Linked DNA regions of Drosophila melanogaster. The gene in region 3 interacts genetically with the main gene of each other region. Each region holds a gene or a part of one and is shown on either strand. Other genes may lie near its edges. The genes, in order: rpr, Diap1, Dark and ninaE.

Evidence for each region.
Region 1: of Dark (region 3) and rpr, changing one suppresses a phenotype caused by changing the other (phenotypic suppression), as found in Drosophila melanogaster (3 studies listed by BioGRID).
Region 2: of Dark (region 3) and Diap1, changing one suppresses a phenotype caused by changing the other (phenotypic suppression), as found in Drosophila melanogaster (4 studies listed by BioGRID).
Region 4: of Dark (region 3) and ninaE, changing one suppresses a phenotype caused by changing the other (phenotypic suppression), as found in Drosophila melanogaster (one study listed by BioGRID).

Annotation. Positions count from the first base shown.
Region 1 is NT_037436.4:18,395,584-18,402,107, forward strand, and holds rpr (reaper), read right to left. Parts: upstream 2,853-6,524; 5' UTR 2,653-2,852; coding exon 2,455-2,652; 3' UTR 1,952-2,454; downstream 1-1,951. UniProt on the Drosophila melanogaster protein: Activator of apoptosis, as well as grim and hid, that acts on the effector Dredd.
Region 2 is NT_037436.4:16,046,974-16,054,983, forward strand, and holds the start of Diap1 (Death-associated inhibitor of apoptosis 1), read right to left. Parts: upstream 4,062-8,010; 5' UTR 3,485-4,061; intron 3,331-3,484; exon of another isoform or gene 2,611-3,330; intron 2,537-2,610; exon of another isoform or gene 2,262-2,536; intron 1-2,261. Other genes in the region: Mbs (myosin binding subunit), read left to right, coding at 6,333-6,587. UniProt on the Drosophila melanogaster protein: Anti-apoptotic protein which functions as a caspase regulator, using its E3 ubiquitin-protein ligase activity to smother caspase activity. Binds, ubiquitinates and inactivates initiator caspase Dronc, and effector caspases Drice and Dcp-1.
Region 3 is NT_033778.4:17,016,773-17,027,603, reverse strand, and holds Dark (Death-associated APAF1-related killer), read right to left. Parts: upstream 7,578-10,831; 5' UTR 7,363-7,577; intron 6,215-7,362; 5' UTR 6,204-6,214; coding exon 5,814-6,203; intron 5,693-5,813; coding exon 5,055-5,692; intron 5,002-5,054; coding exon 4,878-5,001; intron 4,815-4,877; coding exon 4,624-4,814; intron 4,520-4,623; coding exon 4,275-4,519; coding exon of another isoform or gene 4,267-4,274; exon of another isoform or gene 4,216-4,266; coding exon 4,026-4,215; intron 3,953-4,025; exon of another isoform or gene 3,907-3,952; coding exon 2,313-3,906; intron 2,252-2,312; exon of another isoform or gene 2,246-2,251; coding exon 2,126-2,245; exon of another isoform or gene 2,071-2,125; coding exon 1,924-2,070; exon of another isoform or gene 1,860-1,923; coding exon 1,176-1,859; 3' UTR 901-1,175; downstream 1-900. Other genes in the region: Paip1 (Poly(A) binding protein interacting protein 1), read left to right, coding at 8,696-9,541, 9,805-10,638.
Region 4 is NT_033777.3:19,882,450-19,889,775, forward strand, and holds ninaE (neither inactivation nor afterpotential E), read right to left. Parts: upstream 5,758-7,326; 5' UTR 5,582-5,757; coding exon 5,574-5,581; intron 5,511-5,573; coding exon 4,950-5,510; intron 4,775-4,949; coding exon 4,627-4,774; intron 4,569-4,626; coding exon 4,291-4,568; intron 4,223-4,290; coding exon 4,096-4,222; 3' UTR 3,806-4,095; downstream 1-3,805. Other genes in the region: Ask1 (apoptotic signal-regulating kinase 1), read left to right, coding at 1-327, 394-1,196, 1,260-1,406, 1,747-2,646, 2,707-2,979, 3,045-3,282. UniProt on the Drosophila melanogaster protein: Visual pigments are the light-absorbing molecules that mediate vision. They consist of an apoprotein, opsin, covalently linked to cis-retinal.

The DNA.
Region 1 (6,524 bases), on a different chromosome or scaffold from region 3:
GTCTTTCAACAAGGCATCCCAACTTCGGACTGTTAAATTTTCGATTTGGTTTGGGAATTTGCCAGTGGACCCTTTTTTTTGGGTCTTCATTAATTTCTGCACGAGTATCCGCAGAATCGGACTATTTGTGTTCCTTCCTACCTTTTACCTGTTCTATTCAAACAAAAAGTATGGAACGAAAAATTGGCTAACATGCCAGACAATTATGTGGAAGGTAAGCAGAGCGATGGAACCACAAACGGATAAAGATCAGTCAAGGCTAAGACCCCAAACATAAAAAAAGGGCTGCACCTCTTGACCGAAAATAGTTCTTGGAAATTTATGGATAAAGTTTTGTTTTGATTCGAGTTCACTTAACTCTAAGCGGGCTCCATTGTATTTTTTGCATCTTTTTGGCATTATTAGAAACACTTTTCGAACTAATTAACAGCAGAGACAGAAATAAAAGTTTGGAAGAATTTGCTGCTAGGGATTAAATGCTTTTCGTCTGTGATTTTTACAGCACTTCGCTTACAAATCGCTCGACGTTTGGCGCAGCTTCAAACATAATCATAAACTTGTGTTAATTATTTTTCATATGCCACTCCGGCTGGCGTGGGCAAAAGTTTTATCTGTTTAACGTTAATTAGTTTTGTTTGGCAAAGTGAAATTTCTGATTTCTTTTTGCGCGAGCTTTGCCAACTTTTATTAACTTTTTTCGGGCAATCAAAGTGAATTGAACTGCAGGATGTGCAAGGATATGGCAGCTGCATAAGTGCAAAAGTTTAATTAAAAGTCCTGGCCGCGTTCGCGGAACACAGAGTCATATCCTTCGAGCTGATGACGAGACCCTCAAGAATTGCACATCGAATTTTTCCCTGCCATTTGGCGCTTGCCAAAATTAACTTAAAAATGCAAATTGTTTTGTTAGCACCTAATTTTTTGAAATTATAGAGGGGAAAAGATGTCAAGACTGCCGTAGGGGCAACTCCCCCGCCTGCTCTCTCTTGTTACAAAGTTTCTGCATCGAAAAATCTTGGCAAATATTTTTGTATTTCCTTTTTGCATAATTGAATTTTCTTTGTGTGTTTTCTTGCTGCCGTTTGTGTTGAACAATGTTGTCGGAGTGGCTGAAAAGTTTTTCTCAGAGTGGAAAAGTTGGACTAAAAGACTCATTCTCCCTTAACTTTGCACATTCCAAGAAATTGGGAATTCATTTTTTTATATTAAAAATAAAATATCTAATGGTAGAAGTGGTATTATTATATAGAATTATAATATTCATACATATCCTAATTCAATTGATGTGATTGATCTTAACAATATTCCAGTTTTTGGAGTTGATCTAGCCATGTCTAAATATACATATCGATAAGATATCGAAAACTAAAGAACAATGAAGTTTAAATAAATCTATTGTCTGGAAAGTGACTAATAAAAACGTGGTTTAACTTTCTACAACAAATAGTTTATATCAAAACTAAAAATAATGTGGTTAAGATTCTATTATATGTAATACCGATTTATAATTATATTCGTTCTACAATAATTCAAGAAATTAGCTTGCATTAATATTATTATAACTAAATTATTATTATTATTATAATTATTATTATTATTATTATTTCCGGCAATATCAATCTTAATATTTTATTAAGATATATTTCAAAGCGGACTCTGTCACCGAACGCCGGAAATCAAATGAAAAACTTTTTCAAAACAAAAAAAAATCTTTAACGTTTCCTAACCAAACACATGTAAAATAATTTTCACAACCACCGATAATTTCACTGATTATTAAACAGCCTTCTAGAAAGTTCCTTTTACCGTCGGCGAAATGAAATAAAAAATGTGCTTGTTCCAAACTCAGTTTTTCGAGACATCATCTTAGGCTTTCTTCGCTTTTTGTATCTAAATCTTATAAATGGTAATCTGAAAATATTTAAGTAAATGAAAAACCAACAATTTTTTTAGTTTTTGTTTTTGTTTTATTGACTTTTTGTTTGACAAAAAATTGATGCAATTTTTAGCCAACTTCGACTCATCTTCGTTTTTTTCTGGGGTTTCTTCTTAAAAAAAACTTAGAAAAACTCGTCTTACAAAAGAACTTACAAACTATTACAGTAGTAATTCATTTAAATAGGCTTTAAGAGTAAATTATTTCTAAAAAAGTTGATTTATATCATTGAAACATTTTTGTAAAAAATTGGGGACTTTATAAAAACGTTATTTTTTCAAATTTTTCCTCCGCTTTTTTGTAGAAACAAAACCATTATCACAATCGCTTTGATGAGTAAACTAAAATTGGGTGGGTGTTGTGGCTCTGTGTCCTTGACTGCAGTAGAAATCGAGTGCCGTCGGCTGATGAGTGGTGACTGTGTTTGGGTTTTGGGTTGGCTCATGCTTATTTCCTTTGTACTCTGGATTTTGGACTGGACTATTGGTTTTCCCCGTATTTGTTAGTTACTCGAATCCTCATTGCGATGGCTTGCGATATTTGCCGGACTTTCTTCCGGTCTTCGGATGACATGAAGTGTACTGGCGCAGGGTTTCCAGGACGACGGTGGCCAGGAATCTCCACTGTGACTCCCGCAAGCGAAGGATCTGCTGCTCCTTCTGCTCCGCCTCCCGCAACAGAGTCGCCTGATCGGGTATGTAGAATGCCACTGCCATTGTTGGTTTATCTTTCTTCTCGTTCGGAATTACACAACTGGTAGTGACTCAATAACTTTCTCTTCTGCACAATGAATATTTATCGAGTTAGTTCTTTGTTGCTGGCGCACACACTTTTCTTTCGTATTTTCGAGTTCGTTCACTTTGTTCTGGTGTCTCTCTTATTCAATGATTTTTTCGAGATGCGTTCGCTGCGATGGTTGCTTTTCAACTGAATATATTGAGTAGTGCTCCGAGGCTATTTATACCTGGTTCTCTCACGCCGCCTTGTTCTCTGTTTTTCTGGTGGTGGCTGCTCATTTTGGCCTTCTTCGCTCTTCGGCTCTCTGGCTGGGGTTTTTTTGTTTTGGTATTTCTGTTGACATCGTCTCATTCGCAGCTCCCAAAAAAGTACTACTTTTCATCGTGAGCGGGGGCGGGGCCACCTTGCGCCTGTTGCCAAGCGTGTTTTTGTATGAGGTTGTGTTGTTGTTGCCAGGTTGGTGGCAGCGCCTTTGTTGTAACTGTGTGCGGCGAGAAGTACAGTTAGCATATTAATTGTATTAAATCGTCGGGGCATGACAATCGTTTCTCATCAAGGAGTTCGACAGAGAAAGACATACAAGAGTTGCTTCACGACTAAAGTTTGGAATACCCTCTAAGATTAACATTATTTACACTAGCTACCCATTAGTGATTAGCAACTAAACTAAGCCGGATACCTGATAACAGCCAAGTACAACCATCTAGCCGGTTTCATATTAATCCTTCGAATTTCATTTCTTAAATATTAAAAATATTTATTTTCATCTATGTCAATCAGCAAAAAGTCCTTTTAGCTATTACCGCCAGTATATTTTCTATAATATGATTAAATTCTTGAATTGTAATTAATAAGAAAATTCCAACTAAAAATGATGGAAAAATAAAACCAATATTTTTTAGGTTGGACACATTGATGCTATTAATAGTACAACATTTAAAGTACAAACTATTTACATAATTAAGCAGAATAGCTTCTTGTAAGGGTATTATAACAAGTGGGAGGCGGATTCACTTGAAATATGGGCAAGTGGGCAAGGAAGAGTTCCGTTCCATTTCTTGAATTATTTTCTCTCTTTTCCATGGACCAGCCCACCTGCCATATCTAGATAGATCCCTCTTTATCAGTATCTCGCGCTCTACAAGTGTTTACACAATCATCCGAAGCTTCCGACTAAGAATTATGACAATGTCATAAATTAAAGGCCATATACAGTATATTGACAACAATGGGCTCGTCCCATTATATTTCGTGTGCAATTTTATTCATTTTCATTAGAGCGGAACCAGACGGATATGATATGATACGATATGAATGTTTTCGTTGGAAATCATACACGAAAATTTCCCTGCGGCTTAAAGTATTATTAATTGCCTTCCTGATGGATATGATATCCGAACAATGTATTCTTCCAACATATAGGAAGCTTATTGAAATTATCTTTAATAATATATATTCTGCATTATTATATATAGGTCGTTTACATTTTAAATCTCAACTGAAACTTTCTCTTTAATGACGTAAATACATATTTCATCATTTTTCATCGTATCTAAGTCGGATTACCCATAAACATACTATTGTTTTGTTCTTAATTTCGTTATGATGTTTAAATAAATTTCATATATATATGTAATAGAAAATTAGCTCTTGAAACTCCACCTGCATAATTCTAAAATCTTTTACCCCACCCAAAGAACCGCGATGAGTTTTAAGTTCCATTCAAACTCCACCCACAAAGCCGTAGTACCGTAATACCGTACCCACACACAGGCAAACAGCCGAATCTTACGACGTGCGTCTCAAGTGTTTCCACTGTGATAGAGAATAGCCATCACTTTGGGGGATGTTCTGCGTCATCGTCTATAGCGACCACCTCTCCACAGCTCTGATGTCTAGGTCTATTGTTGAAGGAACTACTCTACTTTCCTCGGCCGGGCGTGCTCGTTCTCTTTCTTTCACACTGCCGTCCTAGTCGCACAGCAGAACCATTCGACTCTATAGTTATTTTTTCATGAGTCTTTTCTTTCCGGGTTCGCGTCAACACACACATACAACATATATAAATCCGGGACAGTTGGGCGTGGCTTACGTTCTAACAGCGTTTTCTGCTCCAGCGGGCAAAAAGAGGAAGCCGAAAAATGGGCATTCCCTCTCTTTCGCACGTTTTGGGGGACGACCAATGTGGTTCAAGTTGGAAATTTATGTTTTGGGTCTGCTTTCGTTTTCTGGGGCGGAGTTTAGGTTGGGACCTTTTTTATGTAGCTGAATCATTGCCAAGAAGGGTGGAGCCAGAAAGGGCCTTAAGTTAACCGAAACATGGCTAACGTTATCCCTTAAATGTATGTCCTTCGCGGTAACCTGCGGTAATTTGCGCATCAGTCATAATTGAGGCTGTCGAATGTCAATTAGTTCGATGATTATCCTCTCAAGGCCTTTATCACAGACTTCATTCAGTTTTTCTTTCCTTAAGATTCTGATCTAAATCTCTAATTGCCCAATGAGGCGATATTTTCAAAGTAACAGATAGTTATCTACGATTTTGGGTACTTGTATTTTCTTAAGGGATAATGCGGGTAATTATTGTCATTTTTATTCAAATAATGCATGCCTCCGGTTGGGGTGCAACAGGCAAAGTCGAATCTCGACTTGTTTAATAACCCATATATCATTTGCATAGATAACTGCCTGACTTTCAATTTAACTTGTGTCTTGTGGCCTATTGAGTTTGTCAAATTGGATTATGTTTCTTCGATTGAGTTTTCAATCTACATGTTAAATGACCCACATGATACGATATTCATTCCTGGGAAGTGTGTCAATCGAATTTTCGATCTACCCGGAAGTTTGCCGATCCTGTTTCTGATTGGGATTCCAGAAATTCACTTTACATTTCATGAGGCATCCAACGTGATATTCCCAAATGAAAGCAAATTTTTAGCGATAATTTCATCAGTTTTTTTTTCTTACTCCTCTCCGCAGCTTGTGACGTGTCTCTGTCTTTGTCTGGGACTGCCTCAAATCGGTATGTCTTACATATCACACATTGTACGTACATATACAAAACATTCGTAACATTCACGAATGCTAATGAGTAATATCAACAATGCGATAACTTGCGCAATTCCCCTAATTTTTGCTTTTATTTTATTGTACCGTTTTATAGGGTATCTACAATCATTCTTGGCAAATAAAAGAAAAGAATTAAATACTAGATTGGCAATCATCTCTTTGTACCTTTATGATCAAACTGCTGTGTCATGCACAATACTCATCGTATAATCCGTACTTCAACCAAATCTACAGGTTGTTCATTATTAAATTGTTAGCTATTAGTTCCAACCGTATAATAACAATTTAGTGCAGTAGTTTCAGCTTTCTCTCGTTCCATTTCATTTGTAATTCTACTATTGGATCATTTATGTTATATTCAGTGGATAAATTGATAGCTTTTACATTACAATTTATTTTAGACCTATATTTTAAATTTTCCTATATATTCCCTGCATTACCCATTATTTAAATATTAAACGAAAACCGTTGGAGTAAAGTTGCAGGATTGGAACCTCCTTCCTCTATCCTTATATGCAGTAATAAAATAATTGGGCCGAAATCATCACTCATTCTTAAAGTTTCCTCTCAGTCAGGTTGCTCCCCCCGCCCCCAGCCAATGCTTAATAATATTCCAAGAATTGCGCAACGTTCTCGAACAGAATATTGTCATCTCTTTGTTGCTCCCGCACTGTTTTCAATCTCGAAAACTCTCAATTTCTCACACTTTGGTGTTTGGGTATCTTTTTCGGCTGCGGCTTCGTTTCGTTAATTTGTGTTAATTTTTTATGATCCCAAC
Region 2 (8,010 bases), on a different chromosome or scaffold from region 3:
AGCTTTGGTGAGTGGAATGTTCAATGCAGTTGTTCATTCGGCCTTCCGCACTTTTAATTTTCTTGCTATTACTGAAACTTTATTTAGCCACTTTTAGTGAAGGCGGGGCCCATAAACGTTGTTTAGAATCAAACAGTCTGGCTTTTTATTGTGGGCAAGTTGAACAATTAATAAAAATGGACAAATGCAAGTGCATAATTTTGTTGTACTACGACTAGTATTAATACGTAAATCGTAATAGACGTACTACTGTTGCCTGTATGGCTATCCCTTTCGCACTCGCAGACACCGCAGCCAGGATCATTGATTTTTATCCTCCTGCAAGAGAGCGAAGAGCATGCGCCGCGCGCGTGTCAATGCACCGCATTTCCACCTCTCTCTCACTCTCTCTCACTCTGTCTGTCTGTCTCTCCTTCATTGTGGCGAGGAGGAAGGAGCAGCTGGAACTTTCACAAAGTCCACATATCAAAAAAGGTAGATTATTATGCCTTCGAATTCCGATCATTATTTTTTTAAACGAAAAAATGCTTTTAATGATACGGCTTGGCTGGCGGAGTGCCAGCTTTAAACAAATCGGCTATGCAAAAAGCTATGTATGGAAAAGAGCAAAACAAAAAACAAAATTAAGAGAACATCTCAAAGTGCAGGCTCTGTCCCGTACTCGGTCCCGTACTAGCCTGATTCAGGTTAAACCAAAGACACTAGAAGTGTCAATCTAATGATGATGAATTAATGATGAATCCGTCCTTATACCAAAAACTAAAGAACAAGATTTACAACTTCAATTGCAATGCCTTATTTTGAGTCAATTTCTTCTATGTCTTCTAAAATGTCAGCTTTTTGATTCGCTTTTAGGTTATAGAAAATAGGGTTCCCTGGGGCGGGGTTCTAATATATATATTTTGCACACAGTACAAGGCTGAGTAATTGCTACAGTAAATATTACGCAATTTTATGTACATAAGTTAGTATATGACATGATAAAATGGCTGATAAAAACTAATAAATGCGAAGAAACCACTAGGGATTCTTAAAGTATTTGTTGAATATATTTATATTATGAAATTTACAAACATATTTCTTGAATTGACGTTTTTGCCTCGAACAAAGTATTTGCAATGAACTATCAATAAGTAAAATATTTTTAAACGAAGTCCCAAGCTTTTCTGATTAAGCCCCTTTGAGTTATGAATATATATTTGGCAGGGGAAATGCCAACACGTTCTGATACTGTATAAACAAAGATTGCCAAGTTTGAATCATTTATGGAAAACAGCCCGGCTACAGTGCGCGACATGTGTATATGGCGTCCGCAAGCAAACGGGTTGAACTTTTCAAATTTTATAAATACACGCTGCTAAATTTACCACGAAAATGTCGCGACGCATTTGAGAAATTTGCCTATAAATGCGAAGTCTAGACGACTTTGACATGTTGCAAGTCGACACTGTTTGCAGGCGGTCTTCTGCTGTAAATTAAGCGAAAATGTGGCGTCTATACAAGCATTCTATTTGCGGATGCTGCCAGAGGCACTTCGGTTTTCATTTCATATTCAGCATCAAAAGATCACTCCGCTGACCACGCAGAGTTTGGGTCTCGAGTCGCCGGACAAGTTTTAGTTGAAAAATCCGCGGGCTTGGAGCTAAACGGCCTTGCAAGGCCTTTTAAAGTTGTTGCAACCGCCCTGTTCTTGTTGGTGCTGCTTTTAATGCACAGTTAAAATAGCCTACAGCGTTTTAACTTAATGTGTTGACAGCTGTTTAAGCTATTTCAAACAACTTGAGTCACTTTGTTGCTTTAATAATGAAACCATGCCAGCATTAACAAGTATGACTCAATAGGGATATACCTTAATTTTATCTATATATGCATGTATAATATTCATTTAAGATAAATATTAAGGAGCGTGTCAAAAGATTGCTGCAACTTTGTAATTCCTAAGTTCCTCATATTACATTTCAAAAGCTATACTCTACAGTTGATTCTGTTTATGTTATATTTTGTGGCTTTTTATTAACAGCCAACTGCAGCGGAGCTGAAAACCTGTTTGCCATTTTTGTATTCTCTTCATTCATTTGTGCGGCGATTGGCAAAAGGTGTCATAACAACGCGTTGGGCACGATTCGATTAGACTAGCCACTACCCATTGCTTATAACATGTGCTGCCTGTCGGTCCCTTTTCTAGCCACCATGTATTTACCTGCTCCATTCAGGGCCAAAAAAAAAGGAAGGAAAGAAAGCACCTGGATCGACAATTGTGGACGTGTGCCGGCAGCTGCAGCAACTAGGTAATAACCGATCAGAGGATCGCCGAAAGCGGAGCCAGCAACATCTGCTCCTGGGGCAAGGGTCCTCATCCTTATTGTGCACGCTTCCAGTGAAAGGATCGCGCGGCACATGACGACGCCAGCTGCCGTCGATCCTTTGTCAGGATATTTTCGGTGTGTGGATGTGTGGAACAATCCAATAATGAGCCTACCGAACTGAGGTGTCCCGCGGATCTTTTGCTGTCAAATGATGGAGCCTCAAAAAGGATGTATGTATATTGTATATTTAAGTTTATGGTGTAGTGGATAAATACTCAAAAATAATTTTATTCATCATTTTCAGGGGAACACCAAGTGAACTCATCAGTGAACTACTATTTGAAGTAAGGAATTTGAGAGGTTATGACATTACTCAAGTGACCTAATTTCCTGTGAAACCATCTAGTCACCGTTACTAGGTATAGATTAGACTTGCCAGTTGACAGTTGTTTTAAACAAATATCTCACGAATGAATGACGCAAAACAGAATGCAGCGAGGATATATGAATTTCGTTCTAGTAAAATAAGTGAGGTAAGCAACTGATGCTATAGGCAAAACCCCATCAATCATAGGAACCTACGCAGCGCTGTAAATGGAAATGACATTGAGCGGTAATTAGAAATTGGAAAATTCTAGCTAGTAAACGCGTTCCACGAATGGGTGGGTTTTGCAGCATGGGGGTGGTGTTGATTTCATCATGAATGAAATGCGATGCGAATGAGCTCAGCATCGGCGGAGATAAAAGGTACAATCTTAGTTAATATCCAGGCAGAAACATGTGCGACAGACAGATTTCATTCCAACCCATCCCTCAAAATGACAAGCTAGCACAAGAGCGAATAAGATAAGACGGGATCCTGACATATGCCTAAGTATGTATGTACATGTGTATCTCGGCCTCCAGATTGTTTTAGAAATCACTAGAAAACGCCAGAGAGCGGAGAGCGAGATAGGGAGAAAGGGGGAGAGAGAGAGAGTGAGAGAGGGAGGGATAATGGTCGTGTCCCTGTTTATGTGGGGGTAAGGACATGAATGAAAAAAGGCGTGTTGGAGAGAGAAAGGTAGACAGGCGGCGCCTATTTGTATGCAGCATAATTCAAGTATAGTAAAGTAAACCCATTTTGTTTTTTCTATAAACCGCGGGAAGATTGAACACACATATTTATATTTACTTACCAGAGACATTTTAAACAGTGATAACGTATCAGTTTATCATTGGTTTTTTTAATGCCTTTTTTCGGCCACCAAATCGTTAATTGTTTTCGTTCACCTCTTATCGCACCACGATAAGATTATAAAATCACTTAAAATAAGTTTTGCTGTATAAAATGTTTACACAACTGTGCTCACGTCGACTGGTGGGTTTGAATGCCGTGCAACGACTACGCCAAAGCTATGTGCCTATATAGCTCACTTTCCTATAGGTATTTGTTTTGTCGGTTCTGCGTTCTCGTTTTGTTTTGTTTTGCTTGGCTTTCTAGTGAGCGAGAGGGTGCTGGCGGGGGAAAGAGAGAGAACTAGCGGGGCGGAACGGTCGAAATAGTTTTTTGCCGCCCAAGCGATGCGCAATTATTTTTGGGGGTGGGATGTCCGCACTTTCGTTGGCTATTCCAGCTGTGCGTCTCTAAACTGGAATGTTTTTTTTAAAACTTTTTTAAGTTTAATTAATAACTATTTTGCAAGCTATTTATATTTCTGAATATATTAAAATTTCAAAAACAAACAACTGTCAGCACACGAAGTCGTAGTTTTAAATAAATGCTAAATGGGGTCACACTGTTCAAGGTGCTTGGCTCGCTGATGTATCGATACGCGCTAAAAAGATATCGATAAGATGCATCAGTGGGATCAAGTCTACGCTAGGCCGTCAGCAGCGTTTTCAACCAACATTTATCGAATAAAACGGTTTGGAAATCGAAACGGTAGTTCAGGTATAACACATATACAAAATTGAGCCACTTATAGAACAAGGGTCTGTTACCCGGTCCAGTAACACCGCGAAAACTGAGCTTATTTCGATTCATCAGAATTAGAGCCCCTAACATTTTGTCTTGATTTGACAAAAAAATTAGTGGAACAAACAGAAGAACCTTCGGCATACCGAGAACTCCCAGTAAAAACAAAATACTTTGATCAGTTTGGAAATTTATTTTAACATCAATTGTTTGTTGTTTCGGTTTAATAAACTTTCGAGAATTCTTAGTATCAAACCAGGAATAAATACAAACAATTGAGGGAAGCCACAATTAGAGAAGTTGACCAAAAACAGCATTTTTTGAGTTTGAAAGTAAATTGATTCTGTTGTATCCTCTTTTTCCTTTTTGTGTTTTATATAGATAAAATTAGAAACGGTATTAATATATTTAAAAAGTTGTTTGAAAATTGCATTGTATGTGTTTTTGAGGCACATCAAATATATCGATAGATATGGCCGCATCTATTTTTGAACTAAATGTAAAGAATTGGATGCAAAAAGAACGCATTTCTCCCGAATGGAGTAATAAGACGAACAATTACGAATACCCTAAAATAATATTGATAGTTTAATTAACATCGTTAAAAATATCGGTCCATAACAGCACTGCTAAGTGTTAACATAACTAAGACGCCATCTACAATTTTGTGAGCGGCGTTAGTGTGACCAGGCGAAAAGAGTGCTAAATATACCGCGCATTGCCCTCCGATTCACATCGTCAAAAAATTTTGGTCTGTGAACTTCGTGCGGATGAAATTCGATTTGAACGCCACCGAAAATATGCAAAATAAAGTGAAATACCAGTGCCTCGCGGACGAGGAGCGCTTCAGCGGAGAGTCCTGCAGCCATTAAAGCCCAGAGAGCACTGAAAGTTCTGGGAATTTCGCGGGAAAGGTGCGTTTTTCGCTTGGTCTTTCGGTGTGTGTGAAAAGTTTCTACTGCAATCCATTTTTCTCTACGTGCGTGTGCGGCATACGTGTGTATGTGTTGCGTCTGTGTGCGAGGCGAGTGAATGTGTGTGTGAGTGTGGAGTGGAATGTAAAATGTGGGGCGATGTAAAAATGCCTTTACATAAGTGCACTCGCATTTGCAAGGATTTTGTGCAATACCGCCATCCTGCCAAATTACATAAAATCATCGCATTTCAGTGCGTGAAAAAATACGCGGTTTCCATTTTTGTTCTATTTACTCGCGACGTCAGCGTCGCGGCTGTTGAATTTATGTCAAATTGGTAACACACACACATGCAGGCTCAGCCATTCGCGCTCTCCGTATGCAAGCCCTAACTGCATGAGTGTGTGTGAGCGGCAGAGAGAGAGAGAGAGCGCGAAAGGGAGAATGATAAACAAAGTGTAAAAAAAACAAGCGGCTGCTAAAATGCCCGCAAGTGTTTTTAATTGATATGAAAATGTGTTTGCTTAACACTATGTAGCCCAGCAGCTGGTGGCTCTAAATAAAGCATTTGCAAAATATTAATTTCTCCTATCGTATTTCTTAGTTTTTGCCCCATCCTCTTGTGTAATTTCCATTGAATGCAACAACAAAGGTGCGCGTTAAACAACAACAAATAGCATTGTTTTGCGGGAGAGCGAGTGTGAGAGAGAGAGAGCGTTCCTGATTGCGACATTGTGTGAGTGAGCGGAGAAGAAAACGCCAAGAAGTTGGCTGATAAAGCAAACGCACACGCACGCACGCACGCGCACACACACGCAAAGAAAATAGAAAAATCGTAAAATAATAATAATCAGCAAGCAGGAAAAGAAGAAGCAGCAGCAGCAGCAGTACAAACAGCAAAAGTGTAGTCGTGATCGAAAATCGAAAGTGTGAAGCATTTTCTATAAATAGTGCAAAATCAAAACCCAATTCCCATTGCAAACAAAAGCGCAATAAAGCAATTACGATAGAGCAATAGCGATACAACAGCGCTACATACAAAATCTACACACATCTGGAGCAGTCGAGCGATCTCACAGAGCGCGTGCTCTGCAGCAAGTAGCAGGATTATCTGAAGGAGCAGATCGTTCGTCTGGCCAAGAAGGATCTGCCAAGATGTCCTCGCTGGACGCACGCAACAACTCGGCGATGATGAAGCGCGCCGAGCAGCTGAAGCGCTGGGAGGAGTCGGACACAAACCGCGCCGCCCCCACCCCCCGGCACGAGCACGGCCGCAGGATCAAGTTCAGCTCCGGCTGTGTCTTCCTCGCCGCCTGCCTTTCCGGCGACAAGGACGAGGTCGTCCAGCTGCTCGACCAGGGCGCCGACATCAACACCGCCAACGTCGATGGACTCACCGCCCTGCACCAGGTAAGTCTGCCAGTAATCATCATTCTTTCACACTTAGGAATAGTCCTTATTGGGTGGTAGAAAATGTAACGTTTGAATGGTTATACTTTGCTCAACTAGTCAATTTGTAAATAAATTTAAATTAAAGAACATACAATAAAATAAAATATATTTTAAAGCTATCTTTAAAGATATAGTACACAGATAGAAAACATAAAACATTCGCTAGAAGAAAAGAAAAAGACAACAGTCTTTTAGTAGGTATTGATAATTCCCACTTAAGTAATCGTTTGCAAACAGACATTATTTTCTTGTTTGGGTAGAAGTGGCGAGTATTAGCAATTCTATCAAGGGTTGCATTTGCAGCAGGTGCAATTTCCAGTTAATTAAATGTGAATATTCACACTGCATCCCCTATCACCAGGGATTGATTTCCCACTTTAGAAGGCGGCTAGGCGTTGCGTCAGTCTGCTGCAACTGCGATCACGCGACTGGGCGAGGGGGTGGTGGGTGAATTGGGGGCGGGGTTGGGGTGGAACGGGCGCAGGGAGCTGCAGTTTCGACACTGTTGCGTTGCGTCCAACTGTGGTGCTGACGTGAATCGCACTGTGGGTCGAATTCCATGGGGTCATGGGATCAAATTATTAAAATGCTACAAGAATATCTAGCAGCAAACGAAAAGTATTACCTTATTGTTTCGTAAGGATTAACCATTTAATTTTTATGTATACTTCATTTAACTTAAGAGCGTTTAAAGTAAAACAACAAATTAAAATATAAAGAACAAATTACTAAATTGATTAATTTTACAAGATTTTCCATCGAAGAAGATAAAGAACACAGCATTATGACACATTGACGTTATTATTTAGGAATTTTTATAGGATATTCAATCAAGGTCAAGAATGATCCATCCTGTTTAGACCCACTGTGCAGCGCCGTTCGCTAGACGCTCGACCATTATTGTTGTTGGGTATTTCGTGCTCTTTCGCCGCCGCAACAATAATTCGAATTTCGAATATTAACAAATACAGCAAATACATGGCTAATGCAAGCCGACGATTTACAAGTCGAATGGCCAGAACGGCATAGCCAACAACAACAGCCACAAGCAAAAGGCAAACGGCCAAAAGCATTAAATAAGAAAAATACAAAATGTTCTATTTTTAAACACCCAAGAAAAACATACAAAACCCATACACACGAAAGCGCGTTTACATATTGAAAGCCCAAAGATTTTCGCAAAATCATTTTCAGTTTTCCTCCAATTTGCTTGACTCGATTTTGTGGCATGTCGAAGAATAGGAATTTAATGATACTTTGCCGGCACGAAAATGAAATAAAAAGCTTAAATTTTCCGTACCTATCATGGAAATTCGTTCTATTGTTATGCACATGATAATATTGTAGATTAAGACAAGGACTATTTAATTAATACAAAATA
Region 3 (10,831 bases):
CGTCTGTCTGCGTGCGATGGGTTAGAGATCATTTTTAGACAAATTTGCGTACAATATTTCCTGGCAGTTGCAAGCTCGCGATTTTGCCATTGACGAGCGTGCACAAATGCACTTAAATATGTATGAATTTTACGCCAGTGTGTGGGTGCGCGGAATGCATGTAGTCACTTTTTTTATTTATTGCTTTTGTTGCTGCAGTGAGCTCACGCGTAGCGAGTTGCGCATCATTCTTTCTCTGCTTCGCCACTTTCGCCACGCACTTACTTAAAACGCACTCGTATTGTATTCCATAAAGACACGAAAAATGTTTTTATTTTTTTCACTTATCGCGCCATCAACACGCACACGACGTTCTTTTCTTTTCAGCTTGAAAATTGGAATGAAATGACGAGAAAGAGCGCATATCTGCCAGTGTTGAAAAGGGCTTTAGTTCGGTACGGAATTCAGTACCTAAAACTGGTACAAACAAGGTACCTTGCCGATGATACAAGTTAGCTATTGGTTTTTATTCATTGTTTTAAATGCTTCTTAATATATTTCGTACGTGTGTTCATTAAGGCAATGTGTGTAAATCTTAGCTTATAAAAATTATAGCCCAAACTTGACTTGAACTTTTTAATAAAACCAAAATGCAAACATTGAGGCCAAAGCCTTTTTATTAATTTAAGTCAGCTTAGAAGTAGACGAGCCACAATCCAGATACGTACCTATTTATTGGACCGCAACACTGATATCCATACACGAACTTAGCAGCACTGTCCCGGGACCAATGCTTTTGCAACACTTGATCTGGCGTGCCTGGCAGAAATCAAAACAAACGCACAGCACAACCACCCACACAGACATGCATGCATACATACATACGGACAGCACAAAGAGCAGACAACAAAACCGCGTTCTGTGTTTTTCGTGAAATGTCGTTTATTTGGTGGCGGTTACTCGCGTTGACAAACAAAGGCAGGGCAACGCACCCACCGCCCTCTGAGATATCATACTTGGTTAGCTGCATACATTCGCAAATGTAAGCGCCAACAACTAATGTTTGCCTAGGACAAATCCGGACCCAGGAGGTAGAAGAGCAAAACCATCAGGTAGTAGAGCAGTAATCCTATAAATGCCATGTTGTAGTTTGGACTTTCCTGTTTCGTGCGCCGCCTAGGGACGCACTTCTGGCGTCATGAACTGGCCTCCTCCAGAATTGGTGTCGCCCTCGCCACTCCGCCGTTCTTCTCCAGAACCAGGTTGCCAACTACATCAGCACCCTCGCTATCCGAATCCTGCATAAGTGGGCTGTCGAGAATTCGAAGATTTTTTAAGTCTTCATACTGATTGGCAATATCCAACGTAACTGGGTCAGGTGGAGGTTGAAGTCTGCTTAACTCCAGCAACTGCAGATGGTAGTAGACACCCTCGTCATCTATGGCATAAAAGTGGGAGAAGTGGGCGTCTGTGAAGAACTGACGAGCTTCATTTCCCACAAATTTAACGCAGGCCAGGAGTTCCGGACGGATGGCATTGCCGCGCTTATTCCGCCACAGTTCCGCAGTCCCTCGGTTCACCGGATGAAACTCGTCGGCAACGAATGTCACATCTACATCGATGTCCGCTGCAATGGGCGCCGCATCCACAGCATCCTCTTGTGTAACACTGTGCTGCTTATGGCGTCGACTGCGCCGCCGTTTTTGCTCGCGCTCCAATTGATTGTTGCGCATGTGCGTCACATTCCAGAAGCACAGCTGCTCCGCGCAGCTGATCAGGAGCAACTTACATGGCGAGAATAGCAATTGCCGGATGCAGTGCTCGTGGACCTCTTCAATGCTGTAGATCAGTTGAACTTTTCTGTTTTCAACGGCAAAGAGCTGTTGGGAAATGTATAATTAGCAGGAAATAATTATGAAACGAATTTGTAAGACGTATGTATACCTCTAAAGTGCCATTTTCGAAACCCATAGCCAACATGGTACCATCATCCGTGGCTACCAAATAGCTGATCTTGGCCTTCTGGGCGATCTCTTCTTCGCAAATCTGTTCGTACCTTAGTTGGTTACAGCTGAATATTAAACGGAATACCTGTCGTTGGAAATAATTGATAATTGTTTAATGATATTATGTTTAGCAAACCCACATCGATGATGTTGTTTTCGTAGGCCAGAAAGAGAAGACTGTTCTTTAGATCAAAGCCGACAATGTATTCCTCCGAATCCTTTGGTTTCACGAATGCAGATGGGTTAGCTATATCCAGATGCTGTTGGTAAATATTGAAATCAAATACTGCACTTTTACTCGCATAAACTTCAATTAAGAACACTCACACAGACTCCGTGGTCGGAAAACAAAATGATATACTGTCCTTCCTGCAAGGACGCGTACTTGGTACTAACATCCATCATCAATGGCCACTGGTCATTGGGTTGCAGCGGATCTATCTTTTCCAGCTGGAATATCACAGTCTTCTGGGCACTGTGTGCCGACGCCACCAGAATGTTGGGACTGACCTGTTTGAGGTAATCAATGGGCTCCTCTATAAACTGCTGAGGTAGCGCTGTATCATGAATAACATCTATTATCACTCCGTCCACATAGCCAACGAAAATCTGTTCGTCGTTAAAGGCGGATATGGCATTTATCTTACAGTTACTGGCAGCATGAGTGGGTGTGATTGTGGACCATTCGGAAATTCTAGAAATGGCCGGTTTAATTAGGTGAATGCGCTCCTTGGAGTCCACAGCCAGAAGTTGCGTCCGCTCTCTGGTCATGTCCATCAGAGAACGCAGATAGACATTAGGCTCCAAGCAAGCCTTTGTCATCACGCTTATCTCATCTGCACTGTGAACCCAGGCGATTTCCCTGTTTTGATGTGAATTCGAGCCGCTTACAGAGCGCAATGTGTGCACATGGACCACCTGTTTTCCCTTAGCGCCGCACAAAACAATGTACTTATAGACAGGATCAAACAGCTCGTATATATCCACACACTCTATATGTTCGCTGACATTGCTGCGTAGCACGGGATCAGAGATTTTCAGATCATACACAATAAGTCCCTCGGACGTGCCCAGCAGTAGGTAACGTCCGTCAGTCGAACGCTTTCCGCAGGTGATGAAACTTCCTTCTGGCAGTTGCACTGCCTCCGATTGCAAACTAACCGAAAGACCTGGCAAAAAATTGAGCCGCCATACGCTGTACTTAAAAATCAGCAACACGGTGGCGGTCTTACTCCTTTCGTCAAATACATCTAAGGCCAACGGCGTGTCGTTTTCGACATTAAAAACATGTAGTTCCAGCGTATTGCTGGAACCGTTGGTCAAATCCCATACAGTAAGTGTGCAATTTGAGGTGCAGACCACGTAATATCGCTTTAAAACCTGAACGAAACACCGTATTCCCGACTGCATCGTTTTCAAAACAGGCACGTGCGACAGTTTGAACTCCTGATCTTGTTCGTCCCAATTCAAAATACTCACATCACCATTGATGAATGCCACATGCAGTTGGATGTTGGCCTCTGGCAATCCGGCGTCTTCATTTAAATAGAAAGCAACAATTTTCAGATTTGCATAGCTCCCTATAAAGCGTTTAACCACGCTATTGACTAGCTGCTGCTTGCTACCACCACTGTGGCGCCTTCCTGGACAATCGGGCCACAGGGACCAAAGTTTTACGCTGCCGTTGCAGTGCAAGGTGATCAAGTGCTTCTGTTGGTTAAATACCGCCATACGCAGAATGTCACTGCTGTCGCTCTCGTCCCTTAGCAAATAGGTGTCCTCTCCCTCCAGCGAAACATCGGTTAGCAGGATCTGCCCGCTGGCCAGCGCTATCAAGCAAAAGTCGTTGTGAAGGTAGACAGCATGGCGCCCCTCATTATCACCCAGGTTTATAATCTGACGGTGCTGGTGGAAACGACCGCTGATAAAAGGAAAAAGTGAAATAATAATAATAAAGTAACTTTAATATATATACATTTCATTATTACTAAAAATGACAGCTCTGTTTGTTTGATTAGTCAATAGCTGGTAAGTACTTACTGGTTAGTAAACCAAACCCGATCGTCAAAGCGCTGCACTTGTTTATGGGCTTCTTCAAAAATCGCCTCATCCTCGGCCATCAGGGCAATCCTAAGCAGGTCCGTATACTTTGAACAAATAAGATTTTCCTCAATCTTTGGCAAAAAATCCAGAATAGCGTTGACTAAGCGCTCATACTTTGGGTCATTGTCTGCATGAAAAAAAGATTACATTTTTTTTTTGTTTCAAATGATTCAGAAATTTACGTACCGCAAATATATGGCTTGTAGAACTTCAGCTGCTGTAGCGTGTTCAAGATCGATCCACTGGCATTCCAAGCAGTTGAATCGTGCCGAATCTTTTGTTCTAGAAAACGGAAATCTAAAAAGACCATGCGAAAGAGAGTCATCCGTTCGGGGTGCTCAATGTTTTTTAGATGATGACCGATGTGGCTATAGAAGTATTGGTCCAGGTAAGGCGGTATCAAGTCGTCGGAATCGAATGTTTTTGGGATACTAACAAAAAGGTTAAAATCACTCAGTATACGGCTTACTCGTGGCTTAAGGTTAATACATTTTAGCAAAAATTCAAGATATCAAGAAAAGGGCTAGGAACATACTTATAGTGATCTACGATACTCCGATGAAGTGCATATTCGTTTTCAAGCTTGACTTTCAACTCCAAGTATATGCTGGGTATACTTATGGTTGACTCTTTTGGTTGCTTCTCCACCAATGAATATTTATGAAGTTTGTTAACCACTACCATTACATCGGATTTGATAACATCAAACCATATCAACGATAGGAGCTGTTCAACAGGAAGTTGATAACGATTAGTAGATGTATGCCGTAAAGTGCAGTGCTCACTTACAATAGTGGGTATGTGGGCTGATGGAGGGAAAACTGACAGTCTATCAAACATTTTTCTATATTCAGCGGGCTCCAGAACGTTTAGAGAGCTCTCAATGATGGTCGTCAGCTTATCACAGTTTACACTACAAAAAAAAATTATGTATTTATTCAGTGTGAACACTCATAATCCACATACTGTTTCCAGTTGTCCCAGGTCGCCAGACCATCCCGAATGCTCTCAGCAATAATGCTTAGTCTGCGGGGATTCGTTGTCAAAACTTCCCGGGGCAAATCCTGTGGTCGACAGTCGAGGTACTTTAGAAGCAAAGACTTAACCTCATCCGGCGTAAGCGTCATCGAATGATGATCCAATGAAATATGAGTTGTGGTAGCTGCCGAAAGAAAGTCAGTGACCTGCTTGAACCGTGTGGTTAGCAATATCTTGCAGCTCAAGTTGAAAGCATTCCAAGCCTTGGCATTTTGCACATTAAGCAGAACAAGGAGACAATTCTCGTATGGCTTGCTCTTGAGCAGTCGTCGCAGTTCCGCCTGAATGCTGTGGATTCGAAGCTTTATGTTACTGCTATGATCGCTACGACTTGTCCAGTTGGGATCGATCTGGTAAAGTAATTTCTGCAGCATCTCTAGCACGGTCTCCGGGCTATTGCAGTTCTTCAAGTTAAGCCAGAAGATCTTAAAGTCCATCTTGCATTGCACTTTGTACGATAGGCACACATCCAAGGCTACCCAAGTCTTTCCCGATCCCAAGACGCCATCAATCAATACATTTTTCGCTGGGCGAAGTTCTAGAAGAGCCTGCCTTAGCTTCAGATACTGAAATATAAAAAGTATTGTAGTATGGTTAGATAACAATTCCACAGAGTAAAATTGTTTTTCGGTTTCGTACGTTGGACTTCTTTGATTGTTTTTTTTTTCGAATGGGAGATTATCATACCGGTTGCAGGCGGCTCACATTGTACTTGGCGAATACTTGGTTGTCGTTGTACAGACGATCTCTCTGCTCGATGTACATCCTGGTCATCATGCTGGGCTGCCGTTGCTCAGTCTTGATTGGCGACATTAAGAATTTGTAGTTGATCCTGAGAACTTCCTCCACAAATTTCTGGACCATTTCCTCCTGTTTAGAGAGCAGTGTCCAAAACAAGCGAAGTGTGCCGCTGACTGCATCCTTAGACATGATGATGTGGTCAATTTCCTCCTTGGACAATATTGATTTCGGCATATCCTGGACATCCTTGCAGTCGAAGTTGTCGACGAATGCATCCTCAAACACGGACAAAATGTCCTTGTATTGGTATTGGTGCTCCCCAGTTTCAAAATCCATATTCGTGTTACCTACATATGTAAATATTTATATAGTAACTAAATTTTATAGCTATGTTAGAAATAATTTATTGGCATTGGGTTATTTTTTGTGGTATTTTCATTAATTACAAAAGAAAATGTTATAGTCGAGTTTTCCGGCTATTAGATACCCGTTACTCTGCTGGAAATTTTTATCTCATAGAAATTCGAAAACAAAATAAATAGAAATAAAAATTAAAACGGTTCAAAAGTGTGGCCGTGACAGTTTTGAGCAGTTTGTGGGCGTTAGGGTAGGCGTGGCAACATGGGTGAATAAACTTGGGCTGCGTCTGTATCTCTAGAATCTGTATTCTTAATATCAACCTTCTAGCTTTTATTGTTCCTAAGCTCTCCACGTTCACACTAACGCAACCAGATCGAGTGTTCTAATAATAAAGCTGAATCAAATCCGAATCCCTGTCTTCTCCTTGGTCGGGCAATCACACAAATCATAAATTTGGTTGGACCAACCAATAAAAACTCAGGTGCAACTCTTAGCGAACAGAATCAAGAAAATCGAAAAAAACAAATCAAAACAAAAAAATGTTCATTTCAAATGCACATATGTATGCATGTATATGTGTACATACATATGGCGGAATTTTTGGCGCCAAGCTTGGCCCACTTTATTTGAATGCACCGTAGACGGCTTCTCGAGGAGAGAAATGCGATACCATGGATCTATGAGATCCCTTATCTGCAAGCTGAGATCGACTGGATCATCGGTAATTTCACAACTAATCGACAAGGACGCGAACGAGATCGCCTCTAAATAGCTAGGAATACGTGAGCTGGCGGTGCAACCATCGAAAAAGGCAATTCCGGTTGCATTTTTGTTCTCCTCCGCTCGTCAATGTCGTAGAACCAAAATCGGATCGAATTATTAATCACCAGTTAGATAAGCGCGTAAAGGCAGAGAGAAGATACGTCACTGAGTTTGCCGTGTGAATGAACTTGTTATGTTTGTGTGTAAGTGCTCTCGCATGCAATTGTTTCAGTCACACACACAGTGCCTTGGATTTGTGATTGACGGGGAGGCACAAGGCCCAATGGAAGAATTAAACAAATGGACTTGTAGAGCACAGAAAACGAAAGCACTACAGGTACATAAGCTTTCACCTGCACGCATATTTACTTACGCTCGCCGTTTATTTTTAACAAATCGTCGTCCTTATTCGTATTTTGTTGTATGTGTAAGTATTGCACTTTATCCTTAATATATAGTTGCTCCGGCTTGTTCACATTGTTCTAGCACATTCTAAGCGAAACACTAAAGGCTTGAAAAAATATAAATAATGTACTAATCTATGCTACTCATTGAGTAGTACTCAAAAAATAACAAAACGGAATTTATTCGACTGTGTGACCGTTTTACGCGAGGGAAATAATATCGAATTATATATAGGGTTGTCAAGTGGTTCAAAAATGATTTTAATCGTAATCTGAATTGTAATTCGATATTATATTGCGTGATTTAAGATATTGAGAATTTGTATATTCTTAATAAGAAATACAATTTACATTACGATTAAATTAATTTTTGAACCGACAACAAATAATATATAATAATAAATTCTTATTTATATATTAAGAATTTCTTATTATATTTTAATATATATTATTTGTTATTAGTTATTAATTTGTTATATATATGCCACCTTATATATATATGCCAAATATATATCTCTTTTCCAACTAGATCTAAGATTATAATAATACCATGATTTTCTTGTACGAAATGAAGTAGTTTATCTAATGCTTATTTTCTAAAAAACGGTTTAGCACTTATTACTTTATTTAAAGTGTGACCATATTGAGCCGTATCGATATATCACAGACAACAAAGGTATTCACTGCCAGGTAAGTTTTCACTAGCCACTTGCGACCACACCGACGGTGAAAAGGCGAAATAATAAATTTTAACAAATTGCCGCAGTGTAAATTAAAGGTGCGTAGCATTTTACATTCCCTTTCAGCGGTCACCGGCCGTCCCGCCCCCGCACCGTCCAATTTAACATTTTTTACGGCCAGTAAAACGTGCAATCCCACCCAAAATCAGACACGAAATTCGGAGCAGCGCATCAGAGACGCAGACGAGAAAGTGACGACGCAGCAAAACGAAGCAACAAAAACGAAAATCGGCGACGTACACATTCAACTTGAACAAATTTAAGGTAGGCATTGCAATTTCCCCACCACCACACGGTAGAGTCGGATAGGTCGTGTCCATTTCAATGGGAAACACCGACTGACCCGGCTGCGGAAAATAAAGAGATAAAAAAAGAAAGGCGACAAACCAGTGGTAGGAAAACAAAATGTCCGCAACTCTGTCTGAATCGGCGTCCCGAGGCTTGCAAACGTAACCACGCTGGGGAATGCCCTGGCGAATGTGATTTGTCTTTATTTAGATAAACTAATCCTCATCCATTACTTTACTCTGATTGGTGATTTGCAGTTTTCGAGTCCAACGCAATGTCATGCCGCGCCCCCTTCCAGCCCGACGATCAGTATGAGCAGCTGCGCCGGCCGAATGTCGGCGGAGCAGGCGGAGTGGCCATGCCGGGACTGGATCAGCAGGCGCATCTCTTTGGGGAGTACGCCGGAGCGCAGGCGTACGGTCAGGTGGTTGGCAATTTTCCTGTGCAGGCCATGCAACCCCAGGCGCAGACTCTGTCCGATGCGTCCAATCTGTCGGCCACGGCCACAATTTTCATCCCTCGAGGAGCTGCTCCCCCGCAGCAGCAGTCGCGACATCAGCAATACCAGCAGGCTGGTGGAGCCGGTGGAGGAGCTCCTTATGGCCAACAGCAGCCGCGCTATGTGAATGGTTTTAAGCATCACCATCAGCAGCACCACCAGCAGCCGCACTACAACCATCATCACAATCATCAGCAGAAGTTCAACAACGATATGCAGAAGCTAACGAATTCCGTGCAGAATCGCCTGCACCTGAATAGCCAGCAGGGCTCAGCCGGCAACTACTATCAGCAGCAGCAGGTACACCAAAACACACACCACCACCAACAACACCAGCAGCAGCATCAGCCACACAACCAACACGCCAAGTTTCAACGGCACTTCCACTTGAATAACTCATTCCAACAAATCGTACAGCAAACACAGCACAACCAGCCGCAGCAGCCGCACCACCAGCAGCACAACCAACAGCAGCAGCAGTATATTCAGAACCAGAATCAACAACCGCAGCCATCCACTTCGACTGCGGCGGCCTCCTCGTCGTCCTCGAACTCTTCGCAGCCGGACATGGCCACCATAGCACTGGAGTATCTTGATACAGTCATACATTGCCTTAACCAGGTGAGAATTTCGATTGATAAGCTATCAGGGCAATTATGGGCTTCCTTTGATTTATATTTTTAGTGTTTTATGATTATTTAATCAATTTTAATAGGTGTCAGCTTAATATTTTCTTTAAATATAACAATATATTTAAAATCAATATATTTATGCTCGAAAGTAAAAAAAAAAATCAGCTGAAACATTTCAGTCTAGTCAAACTTAATCTTAAGTTTTAAACCTAAATTTCCTACTAACCAGACATATTAATGATCTCCATCCAGAATCCGGGCCAATTTGATTCGATTGCATCACGCTTCCTGACCATTTTCGATGGCATGGAGAACAACCAATTCGTGCTCTCCATCGCCATGGAGGACATCTTCGAGAAGTCGATCGAGCAGCCGAACTTCCGGTACATGGGCGCCAAGCTGTACAACCTGCTGCACATGCTCAACTCGAAGCCGGACTCGCTGTTCCACACGCTGCTCAAGTGCAAGCTTGACTACCACCAGGAGGAAGTGACCAAGTACATGCGCTCCAACGAGCAGCAGAAGGTTCGCGAGACTGCCCTCTTTCTGGCCGAGCTGTACATGCAGTTGCGCGGCGACGACGACTCGCGCATCCAGTTGATCGCTGTGAATATTGTATATTCGCTGAGTAAGCTGCTGGCCAGCGAGAGCAACGAAAATGTTCGCTGCCTGTGCCAGACCCTCAAGCTGGCTGGATATGATCTGACAGCCGATTGCCCCAAGGACATACAGGAGATCATCACCGCCCTGCAGGCGATCGAGCTGAAGTCGCCGGGCAAGTACCCCATGGCGGCAAGTGTAATTGCCCTGCAGCAGAACAACTGGGGCAGGAAGGTGTCGAACGCTCTGGGAGACGATGAAGATACAGTGAAGGAGCCGCCGCGCCTGAGCGATGAGCCCGTCTTCTACGGACCTGATGGCCGCGAATTGACTGCCGAGGAGACCGATTTTCTGGCCGGCGGGGATAATGATGGTGATGATGACTTTGATGGGGATGGTGCCGACCTAGAAATCGACGCGGAAATGGACGAGGAAACCGAGCGGGCATACAAGGAGTTCTGTAAGCAGGGCAAACAGAAGACCTAGACGACTGTGGAGAACTGTGTTGCATTGGACGGATTCATGAGGGCGTGGTCGTTGGCAGGATATAGCTTGGGTATAGGAGGGATGGTGGAGAGCGTAGGAGTGGAGCATTTCCAACAAATTCTCGGTTGTAGGATCGATGATTGCAGTTGCTTGGTTCAGAACCAATTGTGATTATCTTTTAAATTATTGATAG
Region 4 (7,326 bases), on a different chromosome or scaffold from region 3:
CAGAAGATTTATATGCCCAGTTATGTGACTATAAACATGGATGCGGATGAGAAGTCCATTCAGATTGTGAACATCTGTTTGGCTCACGCAAAGAATGCGTGTAAGAAAATCCACGACTTCCTTTTCGTGGCATCGAAGATCAAGTCCGTCAGCCTTTACAAGAGGGATGATCGTTGTGCCTACTTGTACGTCCATCACAACTCAGATGATTTTCAAATATATTTTCCCTCCACTGAACGACGACAAAAGTTCTACGATATGATCCTGGAGATGACTGCAGATCAGGTGGTGTTTGTCAATCTCAGCAATGATGACGCTAATATCGAGGTAAGTTATTTATTATTCATATATACATATATTCCGGCCACTTTTGCTAATTATTATTAATTGTAGTACGAGTACGACTACGATGAGCAGAATCGCAAAATGGTGCTGGGCAAAGGTACTTATGGCACCGTGTACGCCGCCAGGGACAAGCAGACGCAGGTGCGAATCGCCATTAAGGAGGTGCCGGAAAAGAACTCGCAGGATGTGCAGCCACTGCACGAGGAGATTAAGTTACACTCTCAGCTGCGACATCGCAACATAGTTCGCTATTTGGGATCGTGCTCGGAGAACGGCTTCTTCAAGATCTTCATGGAGCAGGTGCCGGGAGGATCGCTTTCCGACCTCTTAGAGACCAAATGGGGTCCGCTCAAGGACAACGAGTCCACCATGGCCTTCTACTCCAAGCAGATCCTCGAGGGGCTGAAGTACCTTCACGAGCAGGACATTGTTCATCGCGATATAAAGGGTGACAACGTGCTGGTTAACACGTATAGCGGCGTGGTTAAGATCTCCGATTTCGGCACCTCCAAGCGGCTGGCCCGCATCAACCCGATGACGGAGACCTTTACGGGCACCTTGCAGTACATGGCGCCGGAGGTGATTGACCAGGGAGTACGCGGCTATGGCCCGGCGGCTGACATCTGGTCCTTTGGATGCACAAACGTTGAGATGGCTACGGGCAAACCACCGTTTATCGAGCTGGGTAGCGCCCATGCGGCCATGTTCAAGGTGGGCTTTTACAAGAAGCATCCGAACATACCCGAGGAGCTGTCCGCCAACGCAAAGAACTTTATTTTGCGTTGCTTTGCCATCAGCGTGATGGACCGACCCTCCGCCTCGCAACTTCTGGAAGATCCCTTCCTACAAGAGTGAGTTTGCTTAATTGTTTTGCCTAATTCCTTTCTAATTGCACTTTTAATTTTCTCAATAAGTAAACCCCGCAAGGTGCGCCCAGCCCTGCCCATCAATACTGAGTTCGGACGCAGCATTTCGGTGCCGGCTGATCGGTTTGTGCACAAAACCACACCGCCGCTGAGCTACAACACAACCTGCAATACGCCCACAACGCCGGAATTGGAGTAAGTTAAACGCTGCGACTATTCTTATCATGTTCGACCTTCCTCAATTACAAGCAGAGGTTATCTTATCTGTTGAAAATTATCATTTATATTTTGCTAATTTTAATGAATATAAAAATTTTTCCGTGCTTCTCTATATTTTCCCATATCGTCTACTATTATAAGAGTAACAAGTGCCTTTGCTTATCGTGTAGTTAACACATTGATTGTTGCTATCAGTAAAGTGCATATTTAATGATTGGAAAATGCGCACTCGGATTTTGATACTGAGAAGAGATAGCACTTGATGTATTGTAAAATAAACGTAATTTTATATTGTACTTTCTGTTTCCTATTTCAGCATAACGCATTCATCCTCGGTGGACATTGACGAGCTGCCCAGCAACCAGTTTATGCTTGAACGGCGAAATTCCCATGGATTTTTGCTCTCGCCAGAGATTGAACCTTCCACGCCGTCCTTGCGTACGAGCATTAGTGAGACGAGCGAGACTGACGGTTTTTACAGGCTTAAAAAGGATTCGCAGAGGCGGACAACGCTTTCCAAGGTGCTGGCACTAGACGAATCCAAGATCTGCGATATTTGGCTGAAGAAGGTCGACGCTGATCAGAACTCGATTGCGATTAGGAAAAGCGATTTGGAGGTTCTAATCCGAGGACTGCGGGACTACATTATGAACGAAAACGAAAAGCATTTGGAAGCGACTATCAACGAACTGAAACAAAAGCTGAACAACGACGCAGTTGCTCTGGACCATCTTCATTTGGCGCTGTACTCCTTTCAGGACGCCGTGGTCTGCGTACTGCGGTACCATTGCATCAAACCCCATTGGATGTTCGCATTGGATAATCTGGTTAAGCGGGCCGTCCAGGCGGCGGTCACTATTTTCTCTCCTGAACTGGGCGCCAATCTGGCGGACAAAGACCTGTCTGGAAATGATGATGAGAGCTTGCGTACAAGTCTAATGCAGAAGGGTTCCACCGAGAGCCAGGAAAAGCAGAGCCTGGAAAAAGTTCTTCCCACGAGCAACACTCGCGAAGGTGTGGGATTAACGCCTGCGGAATCGGGCGGGGATGCTCTGTCCAGTTCGATGGAGTGCGCGCGCATCCTGAGAGACATCCGTGACAATCAGCAGAAGCTGCAACGCCAGCTCCTTGAGCAGCAGCGGCAGAGCATGAGGGCCCTGCATAATATCAGTCAGGAGCTGGCTCACATTTACATGGGCGGCAGAAAGAGATTAAGGTTGGTAAACCAAGTAGGACATTGTAAATTTTATTATAATTCACAATTTCATCTTAACAGACGCACAATAAACGGCTTTAACAAAAAGTGCCATAGAATGAGTACCAGTGTGGGCGGAACGTCCGGAGTCCGTCCGAATATAGCGGGCAATCCCCGGAGGCAGCTAAACAAGCATCACTTTGGTCTTCACGAAGTAGACGAGCAGTTGGAGCAGTGGTTGACCCAGCAGGAAATAGACGAGTTCTCAAAGACGCTCATCCTGAATGAAGGTTTTACATTTGACGACTTTATCTATAACATGGAAAAGCTGGACCTCATGAGGCTGGGTCTGCGGTGCGTTAAAGCTTATAAGAAAAGTACACTTAATCCATGCTCAACTAACTTTTGGTATTTTGCAGCGTTGGCATCGAAGTGCGTTTGTGGAAACTCATTATACAAGAACGTGTGTGCACCTCGTCCGATTGTGTGGACAGTCCACCAAGCACTTACCACAAACCCATTGGAGGCAATAGCTCTTTTGCGCTTATTGACAACAACAATACGCTACCATCACCCACAACCACAACTCCCGGAACGCCGGGCATCAAAACGAAAATCAAGAAAAGCGAAAGCGAGTACGATTCGTGCAGCGAGTGACTGGAGTTGAAAGCTTTCTGAGTTGTGCCTTTACAGATACTACTGATTAATTGTTAATGTTCTCCATGTGCTACTAACCGCTGCGAGGCTCAGCTCAATGAGTCTCCAGCAGCCCTGGGTTAAGTTCTCCCATGCTGACTCATGTCTTTTCAACTTTGAGTTCGAAAAGGCGTTGTCTGTGTGTCCAGTTTTAACGATTGCATGTTAACTTATAAAAATGGAATTTACATAAGTGCCTTTAATTTAAAAAAAAAAGAAAACAAAAACTGAAATAGATAATATATTGTGAAGTGCTTTGCAAAAAAGGGGTATTTCTTGTTAACTGGAAAGGATTTATAGCTTCTGAAGAAGACTATTATACATATAAGAATGAATAAACTCAAATTTGTTGTGGTTCTCCAAACTTTAAAGGCGAAAGATAACCGAAAGTTGATATCCGAACTTTTGTAGGTTCGTCATTAGGGTTTTTCCACGCTAAAAGCTGCTTTTGTTAGATATACTATGTTTTGAAAAGGCTCATTTTAATTTATAACTTTTCTAGTTCGTTTGCATTTATTTTTTTTGTTGAGTTTTTTTTTGTCCTTAACTGACATTGCAGGAAATTTAATAACTGAGTTTACATTGCTTTTTGTTATGTAAGAAAGTTGCATAATTTTTTCATTATTGTTGAAGTTTTTGATGTTATTCGAAAGCGTTTCGTTCTGTTGCTGCAGTTGTTCTTGCTGTTGTTTTTGTTGCTGTTGTTGTTGCTGTTGTAAGTAGTTAGATGTTCTTGTTGTTGTTGTTGCTGTTCTGGTTGTTGCGCCAAAGAATTTATGCCTTGGACTCGGCCTCGCTGGCGGTGGCCTGCGATTGGGCATCGCTCGATTTGCCATCGTCGACCTTGCCAAAGACGCAGCAAGGACACTTCTCCTTGAGGGCCAGGCGATATTTCGGATGGCTATACGGAATGAAAATAAAAAATTGGTTAAATATTAAGGTATATACGTTTCATAGCCCATAACCAACCTGATGCCGTATACAATTGGATTGTAGCAGGCGGCCGATTTGGCGAAGCAAGCTCCCCAAATGGTATTCAGTGGTGTAAGGCCCTCGAACTTGAACAGTCCCATGCAGTTGATGACCAGGTATGGTGTCCACGCCATGAACCACAGCGTGATGGTGACCAGAGCCACCTTGGCCAGCTTGCCCTCGGCGCTCTTCTCGGCATCCTCAGAGGAGCGGAGGGACTTGACATTCATCTTCTTGGCCTGCTCGCGCATGGCCTTCTCGTGGGCGGAGACAGCCTGTGGGAGGATATATCGGGTTAAGCGACTGGGATATGCGAGTCTCGTCGCCACTTACAGCAATGATGAACCAGTAAGAGTAGCAGATCAGGAACAGCGGAATATAGTACACGAAGATGGAGTAGAAGATCAGGTATGAGCGTGGGTTCCAGTCGCGTTCCAAGTAGTCAATACCGCACGAGGTCAGGTTACCCTCCGGCACATACCTTTTAGATTAAGAATATATATTTATAGGATAATGTTAGGTGGTAATAATATTAATACAATTGTAATTTGTAAACCTTTTGTTTGTAATTTAAGTTTTTAAACATTTGTATATAGTAGCTTTGATCATTTTTTAAAAAATGGGTTCCCAGAAGGTTTACCATTTCAAGGACTCACCTGCTCCAGCCGAAGGCGGGCGCCAGGCACCAAATGCTCGACATGAACCAGATGTAGGCAATCTTGCCCAGGGCCAGCGGAATGGTCATCGGCCGGCCGGCCATGCCCTTGACGATCACTTGGTAGCGATCCAGGGAGATCATGCACATGGACCAGATGGAGCTGCAGCCAAAGGCCGAGCCCAGTCCGGCGTATATGTCGCACATCATGGGTCCGAGCACCCAGGTCTCGAAATACAGATTTATGCCCATCATGGGCGTGTTTGTGATCATGATGCCAAAGTCGGAGATGGCCAGGTTGATGACCAGCAGGTTAGCGGGCGTGCGCAGTGATTTGGTGGTGGCGAATATGTAGATCACCACGCCATTTCCGCACCAGGAAATCATGCCGATCATGATCATGTAGGCGGTCAGGATCTTGGCCCAAATGGGGTCCATGGCGGGGAACTGGTTCCAGTACGGGCTGATCAGGTGGGCCATGTCGGGCGTGACCTTGTCCACCACCGATCCATTGGACAGGGGGGCAAAGTGTGGCCCCAGTTGCGCGGCTGCTACTGCAAAGCTGCAACACCGAAGCAAATGTTAAATTGCTAACCAGAACATCCAGTGGATCCACCGATCGTACCTCTCCATTGTGTTTTGGTTACTGGCTGCGTCACTATATCCCGCCTATATCACACTGTCTACATAAAAAGCTGCAAATTCACTAACAATATTTCTAACACTTTTTACATAAAGGGTTCCTGGATTCTGAATATTTCACTGGGGCGGACTAGTCGCGGCGATTGGTCGTTGGAAACCTGCAATGTCTGCATTCTGCCGCATGGCTTTTATAGTTTTCGCGGTGCTCGTGTAACCCCTGCTCTTGAAATTCAATTAGGCCAGCCTAAAAATATGTCTGCAATGTGCAGAGGAAAGTGTCGACAGCTTTTGGCTTATAATCATAATATCCATAACGAAAGCAAGCGCACATCGCAATGGGCCAATGTCAATAGTTAAAGGCATTTCAAGGGTTTCCACTGGGGGTTCTGGCCGAGTATTATTCTTGAGTCTCCAGATTGTGCAGAAAGCAATGGCGAAAGTCAGCGATTTAATGTGTCAATGCCTAGACAAATTTGAAGAATATTATGAAAACATATCGTAGCAGAAGAAATATCAGTATCGTTCGCCTGCGACACCAGTGCGTATGCGCAATCAAGTATACGCAGTGTGTGCGCCGATGAACGCACATCTTGAGGGCTCTGCTAATCTTGGATTATCTTAAAAAGAATGCCAGCTTTTGGAAGTAGTAAAATAATCTATTTAAATTAAGAATATGAACACCCCAGACGCTAAGCCGCTTATGGATTTTTTGTGCTGATTGATCTTTTCGCACCTCCATTGAATTTTCCGAACATGTTTTGTTTCTTTTCTTTTTGGTGTGGGCAGCTTGGATTTTATTTTGTCAGTCCAGCTTTGGCATAAAAGCCTTTTGTTCGCCTTTGTGCGATGGCTCAACACATCAGCTTGAATTGGGTCAAGTTTTAGGCTAATCCAAATGGCCAAATGGGATGCCACGCTTTGCGCCCAACCCAAATATGGAACTAAACCGAAATAACTGTCAGCTGGTGTGACAGTCGACACATGTCGGCAGATCTTTCGGTTTAAATCAATTACACACCGCAAAACAATACAAAAAAAGCGCAGGTAATAAATATTCATATAAAGTTAGCCAGCGCAAAAAACTAACAAAAATACCGAGGCGCAAAACCGGAAGCTGCGCTCATATCGCCATTATCATTACCATCAATTTGATCATCATGATCATTATATTGGCGTCATCGTTAGCCGCACTTGCGGTTCCCATACTTACGTATTTACCTACAGTTCTGTGTATGCATATATACAAATAATCTGGGTATAAACCATGAATCGCATTTCAATTTATTCGGCATTTTCGGGTTTCGCTAAACAACAAAAGTCCCCCGCCCACCTGCTAGATGGCCCAAACATAAAAGCCAAGTAACGAAATGGGTATAGCAACAACAGAGACATATGGACAAGCCAACTTGCAACAAACATTGCGATGTGAAGTGGAAGAAGGCCGCCGAAGGCGGGGAAGAAGACGATCATTTAGCATTAGCAAATAAGCGAGATAAACGCTGCGATCCGTAGACGTTGTTATTGTTGGGGAATTTGTTGTTTTCCTGCTCAATGAGGCGGGCAAATTTGAAACTAGAGAGGCAGAACCAAACTTACCCGGCACTTTGAATGCCCTTCTCTGTAATATTTAATACGACAATAATACATTTATGTTGATCGTGTATTGATAACGATAAAGATTTGAGTTCGGGGTGTATGTACCTGAAAGTATGCTCTGTATATTTCACGAATTTAAT